2 linked regions of the Lytechinus pictus genome follow. The protein of the gene in region 1 binds, or shares a complex with, the protein of each later gene. Links are inferred from orthologs where the notes say so. Each region holds a gene or a part of one and is shown on either strand. Other genes may lie near its edges.

Evidence for each region. Proteins that work in one complex are often made in the same cells at the same time.
Region 2: negative elongation factor B-like (region 1) and negative elongation factor E-like share a complex: the UniProt entries of both Drosophila melanogaster proteins name them as parts of the NELF complex. The link is inferred for Lytechinus pictus from reciprocal best matches to the Drosophila melanogaster genes NELF-B and Nelf-E.

Annotation. Positions count from the first base shown.
Region 1 is NC_087259.1:18,429,834-18,436,918, reverse strand, and holds the start of negative elongation factor B-like, read right to left. Parts: upstream 3,019-7,085; 5' UTR 2,951-3,018; intron 1-2,950. UniProt on the Drosophila melanogaster protein: Essential component of the NELF complex, a complex that negatively regulates the elongation of transcription by RNA polymerase II.
Region 2 is NC_087259.1:10,932,728-10,940,742, reverse strand, and holds the start of negative elongation factor E-like, read right to left. Parts: upstream 3,011-8,015; 5' UTR 2,931-3,010; coding exon 2,781-2,930; intron 1-2,780. UniProt on the Drosophila melanogaster protein: Essential component of the NELF complex, a complex that negatively regulates the elongation of transcription by RNA polymerase II by RNA polymerase II. The NELF complex, which acts via an association with the DSIF complex, causes transcriptional pausing.

The DNA of each region.
Region 1 (7,085 bases):
ATCCCTCTTATCATTGCCATCCCTCACCTCCTCGTCCCTCTCATCATCAAGGCCCATCCCTCATCATCGCCATCCCTCACATCCTCGTCCGTTTCATCATCCTCATCTCCATCTCTTTCATTACCTTCATCCCTCTCATCACCCCCCCCCCCTCTCATTAAGAGTCATCAAAAATTATCATCCCTCTCATCATCACCATCTCTCACCTCCTCGTCCCTCTTATCATCAAGGCCCACCCCTCATCATCGCCATCCCTCACATCCTCGCCCCTCTCACCATCTCCAAAACTCGGCTCTCTACACCAGGGAAACTCAATATAAAAAATAAAAATGAAATTGGCATGCCCACACAGATACACCTAGAACATTTTCACATTTCGGGGGCAGGAGTGAAGAGGCTCCGAGCCCCCATCCACGTATAAGTATTTTTTGAGCGACTCAAACATCCACACCACAGTCGCACTCAAAGTCAAAGAAATTGAAGCATATTGATTATTGCAACTTAAAACTCGGCTCTCTACACCAGGGAAACTCAATATAAAAATAATAAAAAAAGAAAAAAAAAAGGCCTAAAAATAATCAATTTGAAGTTAAAAATTAAGCCCCCAAATAAACATTTATTATTGATGGCTACCCTCAGCCCGGCATGCCAACACATCTACACTGCGAATATTTTTTCACATTTCGGGGGCAGGAGTGAAATCGCCCCGAGCCCCCACCAACGTAAAAGTATATTTTGTGCGACTCAAACATCCACACCACAGTCACACTCAAAGTCAAAGAAATTGAAGCATATTGATTATTACAACTTAAAACTCAGCTCTCTACACCAGGGACACTCAATATAAAAAAATAAAATGAAATGAAAAAAAAAATAGGCCTAAAAATAATCAATTTGAAGTTAAAAATTAAGCCCCCAAATAAACATTTATTATTGATGGCTACCCTCATCCCGGCATGCCCACACAGCTACACCCCGAATATTTATTTTTTCACATTTCGGGGGCAGGAGTGAAATCGCCCCGAGCCCCCACCCTCGTAAAAGTATATTTTGTGCGACTCAAACATCCACACCACAGTCACACTCAAAGTCAAAGAAATTGAAGCATATTGATTATTACAACTTAAAACTCAGCTCTCTACACCAGGGACACTCAATATAAAAAAATAAAATGAAATGAAAAAAAAAATAGGCCTAAAAATAATCAATTTGAAGTTAAAAATTAAGCCCCCAAATAAACATTTATTATTGATGGCTACCCTCAGCACGGCATGCCCACACATCTACACTGCGAATATTTTTTTCACATTTCGGGGGCAGGAGTGAAATCGCCCCGAGCCCCCACCCTCGTAAAAGTATTTTTTGTGCGACTCAAACATCCACACCACAGTCACACTCAGTCAAAGAAATTGAAGTATATTAAATTATTATCTTAAAGCTCTACACCAGGGAAAATAAAAAAATATATAAATATTTACAAAAAAAGGCAGAGCCTATACGACACTGCCAAACTTCAAGCTCTAGTTCACTCTCTCACTCAGTCAAGCTCAGCTCTTTGACTGTGCACGCCCACTTCCATTGAGGATTCGGGCTGAATCCCACCCCGCCAGTTTAGGCGGCCGAGCTACGTAGAATTGCGATGAAGAGCAGCGGACCGTTCATCGGTTGTTCGCTTCTTGCGACCAGAGAGAAAAGGTGAAAAACTTTAACAAAATCGTGCAAATGCACCAAATTTTATTCTTGTGATGAGAAAATGGAGTTAATGGAATACAAGAAAGTCCATCTTCTGCGATAAAAGTGGTAACTTGAGGAGAAATGATCACAAAATCAAGTCAGTTGTTGAGTGGGGCCGAGCCGAGCACCGACACGGTTAATACACGCGCGCCTATGGGAATCGCGAGCTGTCGAAAAACGCCTAAAATTACACCTTTTTTTTTATTTCAGCGAAAAAAAGTAATAGAAAGTGAAGAACATTACCATCAGACCATATCTCTAGAAAATCTTTACAAGAAATTACGAAATGACGGAAAAATAGACGCAGATTTGTGAGAAAAAAAATCTCGTAATGGGTGGGACAACTCGGCCCGCGGTCCGAGATGTCCCGTGGTCCGAGTTGACCCGATATATTTTTGTTCAAATATTAAAATTGGCATAGTCTATATCGTTTGAAAACAAAGTAAGTAGCTTTAGGTCCCCCCATCATACATGTAAGTTAGGCGCAGGCAGAAAAAAGCCACTGGCACTGCGCAGACTTTTCCTTCAGTTCGGGCACCTTATTACCTAGACAGCTGGCAGCCGTCTGTTTCGAGGAGTTTTTTAACTTTTTTTTTTTTAAATTTCTCCTCGTAGTCGTACACAGACGGCTCGCTAGCGTGCAGCCACCATTAGGGGACTTGCAATGCAAAATCCCCCCGTCGGGGCTCTTCAATTTTTGTATTTAATGAATAAAAATTTTGCAAATTAACGCGACCAAAATGCAAATTAATATTCCCTCTTGGCATTAATTGCCAAAAAACTGAGAAAAATCAAGTTAAAAGGAACAAAAACAGTGACTTACCTCGGCTGTCGCGCAAATTCACTTCCCCGTTTTATCCGATCTTAAGTACATAAACATATGGCCATTGAGTCCCCTGTACAGATCGCGCTAGAACTTCGGTCTCTGTATTTGGTGAGTGAAGCCAACGGAGTTCAGCTGAACAACCAACATAACAGAGACCGAAGCTTTTGGTCTACTTATTACCATACATGTATTTGAACGACTGGGACCAAGATGAAGAACCTACTTGACATTAACGTGCAACATCTGCTACAAAGATTGAATGATATTTATTCTTCAAATATCCAAAACGCTTTGAAATTAACAAAAAATAAAGATCTTTATTGACGGAATCAATACAATAGAATGATACAGAATGAAATGTGGTATTAACGAAATTAAAACTAAACGAACCTGACGTAATTTAGAGAGCGTGTACTATTTCCGAAGATGGCCGCCATGGGCCAATTTTTCATATGCGCATGCGCCATAGACCCATATCTTTCAAGCGCGCGAGAATAAAAATGTCTAAAAATCCCGGGGGGGGGGGGGCTGGGGGAAGTCAAATGTATTGCTGCACACATGCGTGACCAAATTATTTCCAAACACCCCCCTAAAAAAACGAGTTTTTTTCTGTGTGCAAAATGACCCCGTAATAGTCCAGGATAGGCCCCATAGAAAATTGTCCAAACCTTGTTTTTTCATACATACAATATTTTTTCATGGTTTCTTGTCAATTCGAGGGTGCTGATTACGAATCTGAATGATGCCACTCGTGTAACCTTGAGCATTTTCCGCAAATTGGCAAAATAATATGGCCGCCAAAATGTGCAAATTACCCATGAAAATCATAAAATTGCCAGTAGATTGGCTATAAAATGTATGTAATTGTGTTGCAGGAGTGAAATACTCTCTGAAAAAACGATTTTTGAAAAAAATATGTATTTTCTTGATATTTAAAATGGCCGCCATAGACCGCTGTATTCAACTTTATGTACAATATGAATGGGGAAAATAATTTTCACAAAAGTGAGCACTAAATGCAAGTAGTTGTGATTTTTTGTGAAGTAATGGATGAAAACATGATTGCTAACGAAATATATCATTTGTTATGTCATATGTGTAATAAATGAAACATTTTAGTATTCAAAAAGCCACCAAACGCCCTGACAGTATTATGTATAATGTTAATGGGGACAAAAGAAAATCACAAGAGTGAGTACTAAAATGCATATAATTAAGATAAGTGAGTGGCATATTGGCTAAAAATTCAATTTTAACGGAATATAATATTTGAGATGCAATTTATGTGATAAATGCTGTATTTTGAAATTCAAAATGGCCGCCATATGCCCATTATACATTATGTACAATGCGAATGGAGAAACTCATTTTCACGAGAATAAGTACATAAAATGCATGTAATTGTGATATACGAGTAAAATATTGTCTGAAAACACGTTTTCTAGCTAAACATATCATTTCTCTAGTCATGCATGAGATAAATGCTGTATTGTTAAATTCAAAATGGCCCCTATAGGCCCTAACAGTATTATCTACAATGTAAATGGGGACATATAATTTTGTAAGAATTTGGATTTGCTTGACTATGAAATCCATATAATCCTTTTGTATGAGTAAAATATTATTTGAAAGCATGATTTTTATGAAATATAGCATTTCTTCTGCCATGTAAGTGATATATACTGTATTTTGACATTCAAAATAGCCGCTACAAGCCTTAAAGGAGAATGAAACCCTTGAAACCAGCTGAATCCATATCAAAGAGAAAAATCAAAGGAACACATTGTTCAAAGTTTGAGGAAGATTGAATGAATAATAAGAAAGTTATGAGCATTTGAATATTGAGATCACTAGTGCCATGTAGATCCTCCCATCGGCAATGCGACCAAGATCTGTGATATCACACACGTACAACTCCCTCATTACTTTAGTACTTATTTCACTTATATTCTCACTTTTATAGAGTCTATCACAAGGTGAGGTGTTCTCTTTATGAGATGACAAGTACAGAGGTTTCACAACATTATATCATTGATGAATCGTTTGTCATATGATTAGAATGAGCAAAAAGAAATATTTGGGGTATATTTTCAGTGTCCAAATGGGAGAGTTGTACGTGTGTGACATCACAGATCTTGGTCGCATTGCCAATGGGAGGATCTCCATAGCATTAGTGATCTCGACATTCAAATGCTCATAACTCTTTTATTGCTAGTCCTATTTTACTCAAACTTTTGTTGATCTTATTTTTTTATTTTTCTGCTTTCACAAAAGCTAACTTGCTCCAAGAGTTTCATTCTCCTTTAACTAAATTATGCTACATGCGTTTAGGGAAACTTATTTTCAGTGGTAATCATAAAATATGCATGTTGCTGTGATGTACGAGTAAAAATATTGTCTTAAATATGATTTCTAACTAAATACATCCCATGTTGCTCATGGAGGTAATAAATGCTGTACTTTGAAATTCAAAATGGCTGTCATAGGCCCTAAAAGTGTTATGTACATTGTAATTTGGTACATATAATTTCGACAGAATTTGGCTTTGCTTGACTATAAGAATTGCATATAATTGTGATGTTAGAGTGAAATATTGTCTAAAACCATGGTTACTAACGAGATATATCATATCTGGTGTAATTAAGGTGGCAAATGCTGCATTCTGAAATCGTAAATGGCCGCCATAGGCCCTTACTGTATAATGTACAATTTGAATGAGGACAGAGAATTTTCACACAAGGGCATATTGCGGCCATTTTCAATTTTGAAATATAACATTAATCACATAAATTTTATATAATATGATATATTTCGTGAGTAATCATGTTTTTAGACAATATTTCACTCATACACCACCTTTTAGTCAAGCAAAGCGAAAATCTGTTAAAATCATTTGTCCCCATTCACATTGTACATAATAATGTTAGGGCCTGTAGCGGCCATTTTGACTTTCAAAATCCAGTATTTTCACCTACCTGGCAGGAGAACTGATATATTTTGTTAGAAATTGTACTTTCAGACAATATTTTACTCATAGATCAGAATTACGTGCATTTATGGTGCTCACTCCTGTGAAAATTGATTTCCTAGTTCGCATTGTACATAATACAATATATGTTTATGGCGGCCATTTTGAAAGTCAAAATAAAGTATCATAACACAAACTTAAAACCTGAATGATATATTTCGTTAAAAATTATGTTTTTTTAGACAGTATCCCAATTATTTATCACAAATAAATGCATTTCAGTGCTCACTCGTGTGATTTCATTGGTCCTCTTTCCCATTGTACATAATACTTTAAGGGCCTTTGGCGGCCATTTTGAATATCAAAATACAACATTTATCACATACATGGCATATTAAATAATATATTTTGTGAACAATTATGTTTTTAGTCAGCATTCCACTCGTTTACTTTAATAATATGCATTTTAGTGCTAACTCTTGTGATTTGTTTTTGCCCCCTTTGCTGTAGTACATAATACTTTTTGGGCCAGTGGCGGCTATTTTGAATATAAAATACAACAATTTTCCCATACATGACATGATAAATGATATATCTTGTTAACATTGATGATTTACATACATTACTTCGTCCATATATCACAATTACTTGCAGTTTAGGGAATATTTTTGTGAAAAATATTTTTCCCTATTCACATTGTACATAATAGGGTATATGGCGGCCATTTTTAATATGAAGAAAATAAATATTTTTTTCAAAAATCGTTTTTTCAGAGATTATGTCACTCCTGCAACACAATTAAATACATTTTGTAGCCAGTCTGCTGGCAATTTTATGATTTTCATGGGTAATTTGCATATTTTGGCGGCCATATTGGATTTTGCCAATTTGCGGAAAATGCTCAAGGTTACACAAGTGGCATCATTCAGATTCGTAATCAGCACCCTCGAATTGACAAGAAACCATGAAAAAATATTGTATATATGAAAAAACAAGGTTATGCCTCTTCTATCCTGGACTATAAACAAGTTTTTCGCGGGCTTCGCTCATTTACACATTTTGGCTCCTTATATAAGTTGTCGCCAGAATATGACCCGAATGCGGGGCCCGAATGAAAAGCTTCAAACATACCCTAAAATAAATATATACGTTTGACCCCGCGATTGACCATTGACCAGTCTTTCAAAACCACCTTTTTTAAATCGGGAGCTAATTTTTTTAATCATTGTTTTATGCATGTTGTCGATCCTAAAATTAGAACATTCGATGGGTATATGTTTGCAAGGACCTAGCTGGCCACGGAGGATTATCTATTGTTACTGGGGGTGCTGCGACAATGCTCAGCCTGAGCACCCCCAGTAACAATAGAATAATCCTCCGTGGACAGGTCCATGTATGTTTGTGATCCTGAACAATTAACAACCAAATAATTACTGCGAGCGCGAGCAGAAATTTTTAATATACGTTTTGATCTGATCGAAAAGGACGTGTTAAAGGAGAATGAAACCCTTGAAACCAGCTGAATCCATATCAAAGAGAAAAATCAAAGAAACATAT
Region 2 (8,015 bases), about 7.5 Mb from region 1:
ATCACGTGCCATCGGCTTTAGGGCCGAGTGTTCTTGTTCACATTCCAACTATCATTTCATAAATAGGCACTCTTACAAATTAGGCCGATGCCGTTGTAAAGATAACTATTTTTGAAGCGTTATTCAGATATAAAATATATAAAGACAATTGAAATTGAACAATTCATCGAAATTTCCAACGATATTCAAATAAAAATAGTATCAACTCGTGTAGAGATAGGGGTGAACAGACGAAATACATGCTCCTAAACGTTCAGACAAATCAATTAACATGATATCTATATCTTTCGATGAATTGTTCAATTCCATCAGAAATATGCTTCATGAAGTCTTGTCAGATTGTTGAATGTGAACTTCTATTGGAATCTGTTGAATCACGTACCCCTCCCGATCCAAGGTATAGATTTCCCAATCACCATAGATAACATACGGTTACATATATGGTATCTTATTTACATTGTTAGGTACTGACGATATCTTCATAAATACATTCACAATTATTTCATGAAATGTCACCATTGCCGTGGCTGTGACATGTTAAAGCCTGAAAGCTATTACATAAAATATTGTTTGCACTTTGATATAATAGAGGTCAGATATATTCTTGTCATCTAATATAAACATTCCATTATTATGCACCATGTTTCAAAATGGGTAAGAAAATTACATTACCATCGGCATCCAGATAATTAGTCCATGATTAGACCAGGGAGATCGGAGTCTACCCCTTTTTTGGAATTTCTATTTTCTCAGCACATCGGAGTGAGGAAAAACCACCAAAAACCCTATATTGGTATTAAATGATAACCATTTATTGTAAACAACGTTTAGGACTGAGGGAATTGGGGGAGATGGTATGGGGAGGGAGAGTATTTCATTTTCCAATAAAATGCAAAAGTATAATATTTTCGTGAACATGAACGAAATAAACAAAAAGTTAATAGCTCAATATCTTTATTGAATTGTTCAGTAGAACAATAATACTAGCTGTAATAATGTTAAAACATTTCAGTCATTGTAATTACATGTGTTTCTTCAATCTCAATATATTGACAATGAAAATAATTTTTTAATATAGAAAATATATTTTATATGACTATTGTGAATTTTAAATAATCCCATTTTAGATCGTTGATTAAACCACCTTTCTGAAAACAATCACTTTGATATATCATGTAAAATCAATTTTAGACAAAAAAATATTTTCTGTTAAAATTGATTTCTAAGATTCCTGTCTGAAAGTTGATGAAACACCTTAGCTCGAGTAGAAATGCATAATACAAAGATATTGAATACTCAAACTCTTATAATGATATTGTCCAGCAAAACAGAAAATTGTCAAATAGTTAATGAAAAATAATTGAATTATAAACCAACAATTAAGTCAAATAGAATATGAAAATTATAACACACAATCACGTCACATTCGTTCTCACTCTCGTAGTTGTACGATGGGGAGGGGGGGGGGGGGTCGGGCGTCCGGACACTATATTTTTGAAGCCTTCTTTTTGTCTTTGCATTACACTAAAAGTATGAATTCAATGGTTGTAATCATCTTGTTCTCCATAATATTTCCTAATATCTTGTACTAAAAATTGATGAAACTTCGCTTGTAAATTTTTCCAAATGACTTTCTAAAATTGATCGTCCGGACACACAACCTGTCCATACAACTGGGTAGACTCATGCTAGTCTAGAAGCACTCCCACACTCCAGACAAAGTGTCACAAGTACATGAATTCTCGTAAGCACACAGAAAATACAACTTATAATATGCTCTAATAAAATGTAGTAATGTACTGCCTTTCAGGGTTCAAACATCCTACAAATACACTCTTTTATAACATCAAATGATTCTATTAAAAAACAAAGTTAATTAATGAAGTCTGCGCCGAGCATCTAATCATAAGGCAGGCTACCAGGAAATTCATCTATCGCGGGGGCAACGCAGAATTCAGTACAGACAAGTATACATGTACATTATAAATACGCTGTGCACTGTACTCTATGCAAATACAATTTATGCAAGCGACCTTCGGCCTTGCGTAACCCGATGAAAACCACATGTTTTGCTTAGACTTCGGACACTGCCTGCCGAAGTGCCGATATCATCCGAACATGCGCCCGAAATCTACACGCTGGCATCTTTACCCGACAGAGTGTTGTGCTCCGTGAGTCAGCCGATCGCGCGGTGTAAAGATTCTCACACACAGCGCTGGGCGAGGAAGGGAAGAGGGTCGCGCGATCAGCCAATCAGCGTGCAGGGAATCCGTCTACTGTGTGCCTATGGGGAAAGTTCTTCGTGTAATGCAGACTACATAGGCCTAACTAAGAAGGTAAGATGAAAACACCATGCCATTTCAAATTGAAATAAAGCCCACTGGCACTGGCTGCATTGGCATTTCAAATTCCAAATTGTTCCATTAAATTAATTTCAAATGGAACAATTTGAATTTTGATTAGAATTTAGATTTTAACGTTAGAATCTTAGATTTCGTATAAAATTATTTCGTGAAATCGCATGGAAGCGTTTTATCTGGACCCCAGGTATCTCCAAAGGCAAAGAAGTGGAAGGATCAGCTCATAGTGAAAGTTTCATGCGTCGTGCCTTGATTTTCCCGTGCACGGCCCGGCGGCGCGGCATAATGAACCCTTATTGCCTATTCATTAGCCTATTGGCTTGACTGAGTTCAGTCATCAGTGCGACTTAAATTTGTATAGGCCTAGAATTTACAAACACAAATTCATATGTATGGGACAGTATGATGAGTTGCGATTACCTTCTTCCTTAGTTTTGCGAACTTTTTCTGGAGCATTTCCTCTTCTTCTGTAAGTTTATTAGAGTAACCCATAGTAAAATAGAGTACGCATATAATATGAAGATGGAAAATCCTGAAAAATCCTGTAATAAATTGGTGATTTACAACCATTCGCCGGAGATGAAGGTCTATGATGACGATACAGCTGAAGTTACCGACTACTTGCACGGCGTACTAACTTGTCCTTGTATATTTTCTTCCTCCGGTCTTCGGAGATCGGCGGCAAGCCGCAAAGTTCGACTATTTACACTTTGTCGTACCGTCAAAGATTCTACAAACAAGGGGTAGTATCTTTGGACCCGTGTATGCAAAACTATATTTCCCGTCCACATAGTTCTTTTATTTCTTTTATTGTGAGACCTAGACTTTTTACATGGTAGTTTTAAAAAAAATAACAAGATAAAACAAACTTTCAACACAACAAACATAGAATTAAGGGGTTACATATAGGATTGAAGGATTCAGGTTTTAAAAAAACTCACACAAAACTGATGACATTTTGAAAGAAAGAGGAAAGCTTATAAAGAATAATGCCGGGAATAAAGCTAATAAGCTATTGCCAGAACAAATTATAGGATATGATACGTGTAAAGAACTTAAATAAGATTACAAAACTAAGTCTACAGAAAAAGAACAAAGGAAATATACAAATAAGCAATATGAGAGAAATAATAAAGATATAGATATTAATATTTTGAAAGACATATTAAGACAGCGGCAATCGAAAAAGAACAAGAAAATGATAGGCCTATAAAGATTTTTACAAAGGGAAAAGTGTTGAGATTGCAAAGTAAAACAAGAGACACTGGCGTACCTAGGATTTTCCAGAAGGGGGGAAAAATTTTTGGAGGATATTTCGTCCGCGAAAAATTTAGACAAGCCCCGGCCCCCCCCCCCCCCACCAAAAAAAAAGGTCTTCAACCACAAATAAAGGTTAAAAAAAAATTGACAAGCAAAAAAAAAGGAGAAAAAAAAGGTCTTCAACCACAAAAAAAATTGCACAAGCAAATTTAAAAATAAATAAATAAAAAGGTCTTCACGTTCTCGTCAGGGGGGGCTGGGGGGCAGGGTTACGTCCCCTGCATGAGTTGTGACTCGTCAGGGGGGCAGTCTTCCCCCTGCCCCCCTTAGGTACGCTAGTGACAAGAGATCTATAGAGAGAAGGGTGTGTACAAACAACACAATGAAATGAGTAAAATACCAATCCAAAATTAAAACAGGGAAAATTGACGTCAAAACAAAGGGTAACTCATTGTATAGGCCCTACATGATAATTTATTTTGCACTTATGATATTTCAAATAGTTTCAGCGTTATGTGATTTAAATTTCACTGGCAGAACTTCAAATACGTTCCACACTATAGACCACACCATAGGAATTATATCAGGTAATTGGATTAGCAATTACATGTACATTTCTTTTTCTTTTTTCGGATGCGGATCCAGCCAGACGTTTTTTTTTTCTTTTTTCTTTTTAATGCCAGCAGTACAGTTTGACCGCAACTGAGTCAGCAATTATATAGGCCAACTTTTTTTTCCACATCCAAAATCTTTGACACGAAAAAAAAAAAAATAGGCCCAATAAAGGCCGGGGGGCAGTCAAATGTATTGCTGTACACATGCGTGACCAAATTATTGTGCAAAATAACCCCCTAAACAAGTTTTTTTTCGCGGGCTTCATTTACACATTTTGGCTCCTGGATCTAAACAAGTTGTCGCCAGAATATATGACCCCTAAACAAGTTTTGTTTACTTGCTAACAATTAAGTTTATAGAAAAACCTTATTCATGGGTATTGCTTACCCCCAGTGCAGTTAGAGAATAGGCCTAAACTAATTAACACTCTAAATAAGTGTCATCCAAAATTCACCAGGTAATAATAAAAAAACCCGGGGAAATGCTAAGGGGAAAAAACATAACTTATACGTTTGGCTAGTCTTAAAAAAAAAAAAACTTTGGAAAAAAAATATACTCTATATACGTTTGACCCCGCGACTGACCATTGACCACTAGTCTTTCAAAACCACAATTTTTTTAAATCTGTGTTTTTGATACCTTTTAATAACGAGCTAGTGCACGCGTGGCCCTCGTCCAAAGCTGACAATGACGATGACATTTATTCCCATGTCACCCATAGAGTATGGAAGTACCACTTGCATTAAATCCTTTGGCAGTGAGGGTGAAAATTACGTCCCCAATTCTGAGTTTTATTGTTGTTGTAGATAGTGGTGATATTTTTCTCTCTTTTTTGGGGGAGGGTGTATAGTGATCGGGACCACCCCCCCCCCCCTTATTTGCATGTATACTCTTTTTAAGGCAATCAGGAGATTGGGAGCCGGGACGGGAACCCCTTTTTGTTGTTTTTAAAACAATTTATTCTCAGAACACTTTTCTGCCCCCTGATTCCGGCACTTGTGGAAATCTGGATCCGATAGCCCTTATTATCATTAGAAAAAAGCCATTTGCTAACTACCATTACTATTGCCATAAGAAAAAAGCCATTTGCTAAACCATTACTATTGCCATTAGAAAAGAGCCGTTTGCTAAACCATTGCCATTAGCATTTTGCTATAAAGGACAATGAATTGCATGGACTAAGCTGACCATTTTTGAGGTGTTTAATTATAATATTGTTTTAGTTAGTTGCCCAAATATGGAGAAGTGTGTGCGCAGCGCTTTGTAACTGAAAGGAAAAGGCGACATATCAAATGACCTTTGGATTGGATTAGAAACTGTTGACTGTTGGACCAAAGATCAAATAACCACTTGGAAGGTCGCAAAGGAAATGACAAATTTGGCCTTCAAGTTGTCTGTGATCGTGACCAGAATGAGGAATTTTAGAGACAATTTTATGTATATATTGACCACATCCTTAGATCCGGCCAAATTTATTGTTTATTGTTATTTTTGGTCATATTACCGACTTTGTTAATCATGACGGTCTTTCTCTTTTTAATTGTTTCAATAATGCATTCAACATGTTTAATGCTGCGTTTGCCTTTCGCGGACTTGAACTTATTCATTGATGGTTGGTATGCTATGGATCATAAGTACCCTTTTTTATATTGTAATAATTGTATTTAAAAAGTTTATGCCATTGGACCAATGGATCTCCGAATCCTGAATAACACTACCTACTTGTGTATATCTGAGAGAGATAGAGAGAGGGGGAGGGGAGGGGGGGGGGTGTGGAGGTAGTGGCAGGTGCGCGCTTTACTTTTGCTCTAGTCATATCTCAAACTTGTGAAGATAAATTACATAAAATCTCTAGATATATTGCAATTAAACGGACTTTTTATGAACACAGAAAGGGATGTATGCATATATACAGACCAGGGTATATTGATGGAGGGAGGGGGGGGGGAGAGGCATAAAGATGTCGTCATATTTTTTTCTCAATTGAATTATTGAGATATTTTCAGCTTTTTACAGAGTTACACAACACAGACCTCTCGTTAGTCATCTTCCTTTTATCTTTATTTCACTTTATTATTGGTTTTTATCTTATTCCTCTTTTGCCCCCATTTTCCTCCTTCTCCCCCCCCCCTCCCCGTGGTGCCACCGTCTCTGTTTATAATTCAAATATTGATTGATTGATTGATTGTTTCGCATTTGTTGAATTTATTATTTTTTCACTTCAATTTCAACAAACATTTATAATGCAAAACAACAAATAATCTAGAACAAAAAAGAACCAACTGGAAATCAAAGCTTGGGCGCGAAGGCAGACCTTTCCATGTAAATTACTTGAAAAATGTTGAAGAAAGTGGGAAGAAAACAAAACAAAAACGGAAAAACATAACATAGGGTATGATGAAATAGGATTAAAAAATAATGAAAGAATCAGGACAATGATGGGAACAAAGTAAAAAAATCGTTATATTCAATGGATTTGCATTGGCACTGCATGGCCTTGATCATTATTGACGTCAGTCGCTGTGGTCAATCTTTTGTATGTCAATGACAAAGATTTAAAGCTTCATTGTTCAAAAATCTGTTCAGCAGCCTTGAATCGTTCAATATAACGAGAAATAGTTAAATTCCGTTTTCATTGTCGCCGTCATAAAATATATTATTTAATCAGAGCCTATATATAACTGTATTATGCAAACCATTATACTGACATTCTTTTCTGGAGGAGCCACGATGGCATCTAATGTCATTTCCAAGCGCGCTGAAAGGTCGTATTATTTTCAATTAAAGGACACCATGATTAAAGTAATGGAAGATGAGTACAACGAAGATACAAACAAGAAGGTAGGAAAATTATTTCACGCAGCAAAAACTTGGTTTACACAGTAAAAGCGTTGTTTAATATTTATACAACGCTGTTTACTATATGAACTTTCAAACAGCTGTATAACAGTTTAAAACAAGAATGTTTAATCTAGTGAAGATTAAATATTGAAAATGTTAGTTGTTTAAGATTTTAAGCACTTGTTTACACAACTACTGTAAAGGCCAGGGGCGGATCCAGGATTTTCCAAAGGGCGGGAGGGGCACATTTTGCCGAGGAAAAATTTGACAAGGAAAAAAAAGTTTTTAAGAAAAAGTTAAGGACATTTCGTCCACAAAGAAGTTTAACAAGCAAAAAAAAAGTCTTCACTTTCAAGGGGGGGGGGAGGCAGTTGTAAAGTCCATAGATTAAACGGATTTGTAACATTGTAAACAATGTTTTTTTTTCTGTTTAGATTTATAAAGTATAAAGGACCACACCGGTCATTTTTACTCCGGAGTTTGTTTCCAACGTCATCTTTTGTAAATATTTTTTTTAAGAATTCAAGTGTTCTTCCATACCAGCATACCATGGCTTGTTTTTCTGACTTTGTGATCCATGCATAATCAGGGTATAACAGTTAACTCACTCGGTTGATGGGCTGATCATGTGTTGTTTAAAGTTTGAATAAATGTTTATACAGCAATGCTTTATACATTTCTAAGGTCTTTGCTTAAAATTTGGAAATTGCCTATAAATTTTGTAAAATATTCATGCCGAAAACCAGGGTGTATATTAAGTTTTGTTTATTTTTTTCACTTTATACACGTCTAAGCAATATGCATGCATAATATAGGTCCAGACTAATATTATGTTTGGGCTTACATTGACCGTGCGAGAAGCCTGTTCTATTTTGAGATTGAAAATAGTATTTTCAACCAAAAAACACAACACACACACATAAATCAATATTCGCCTTA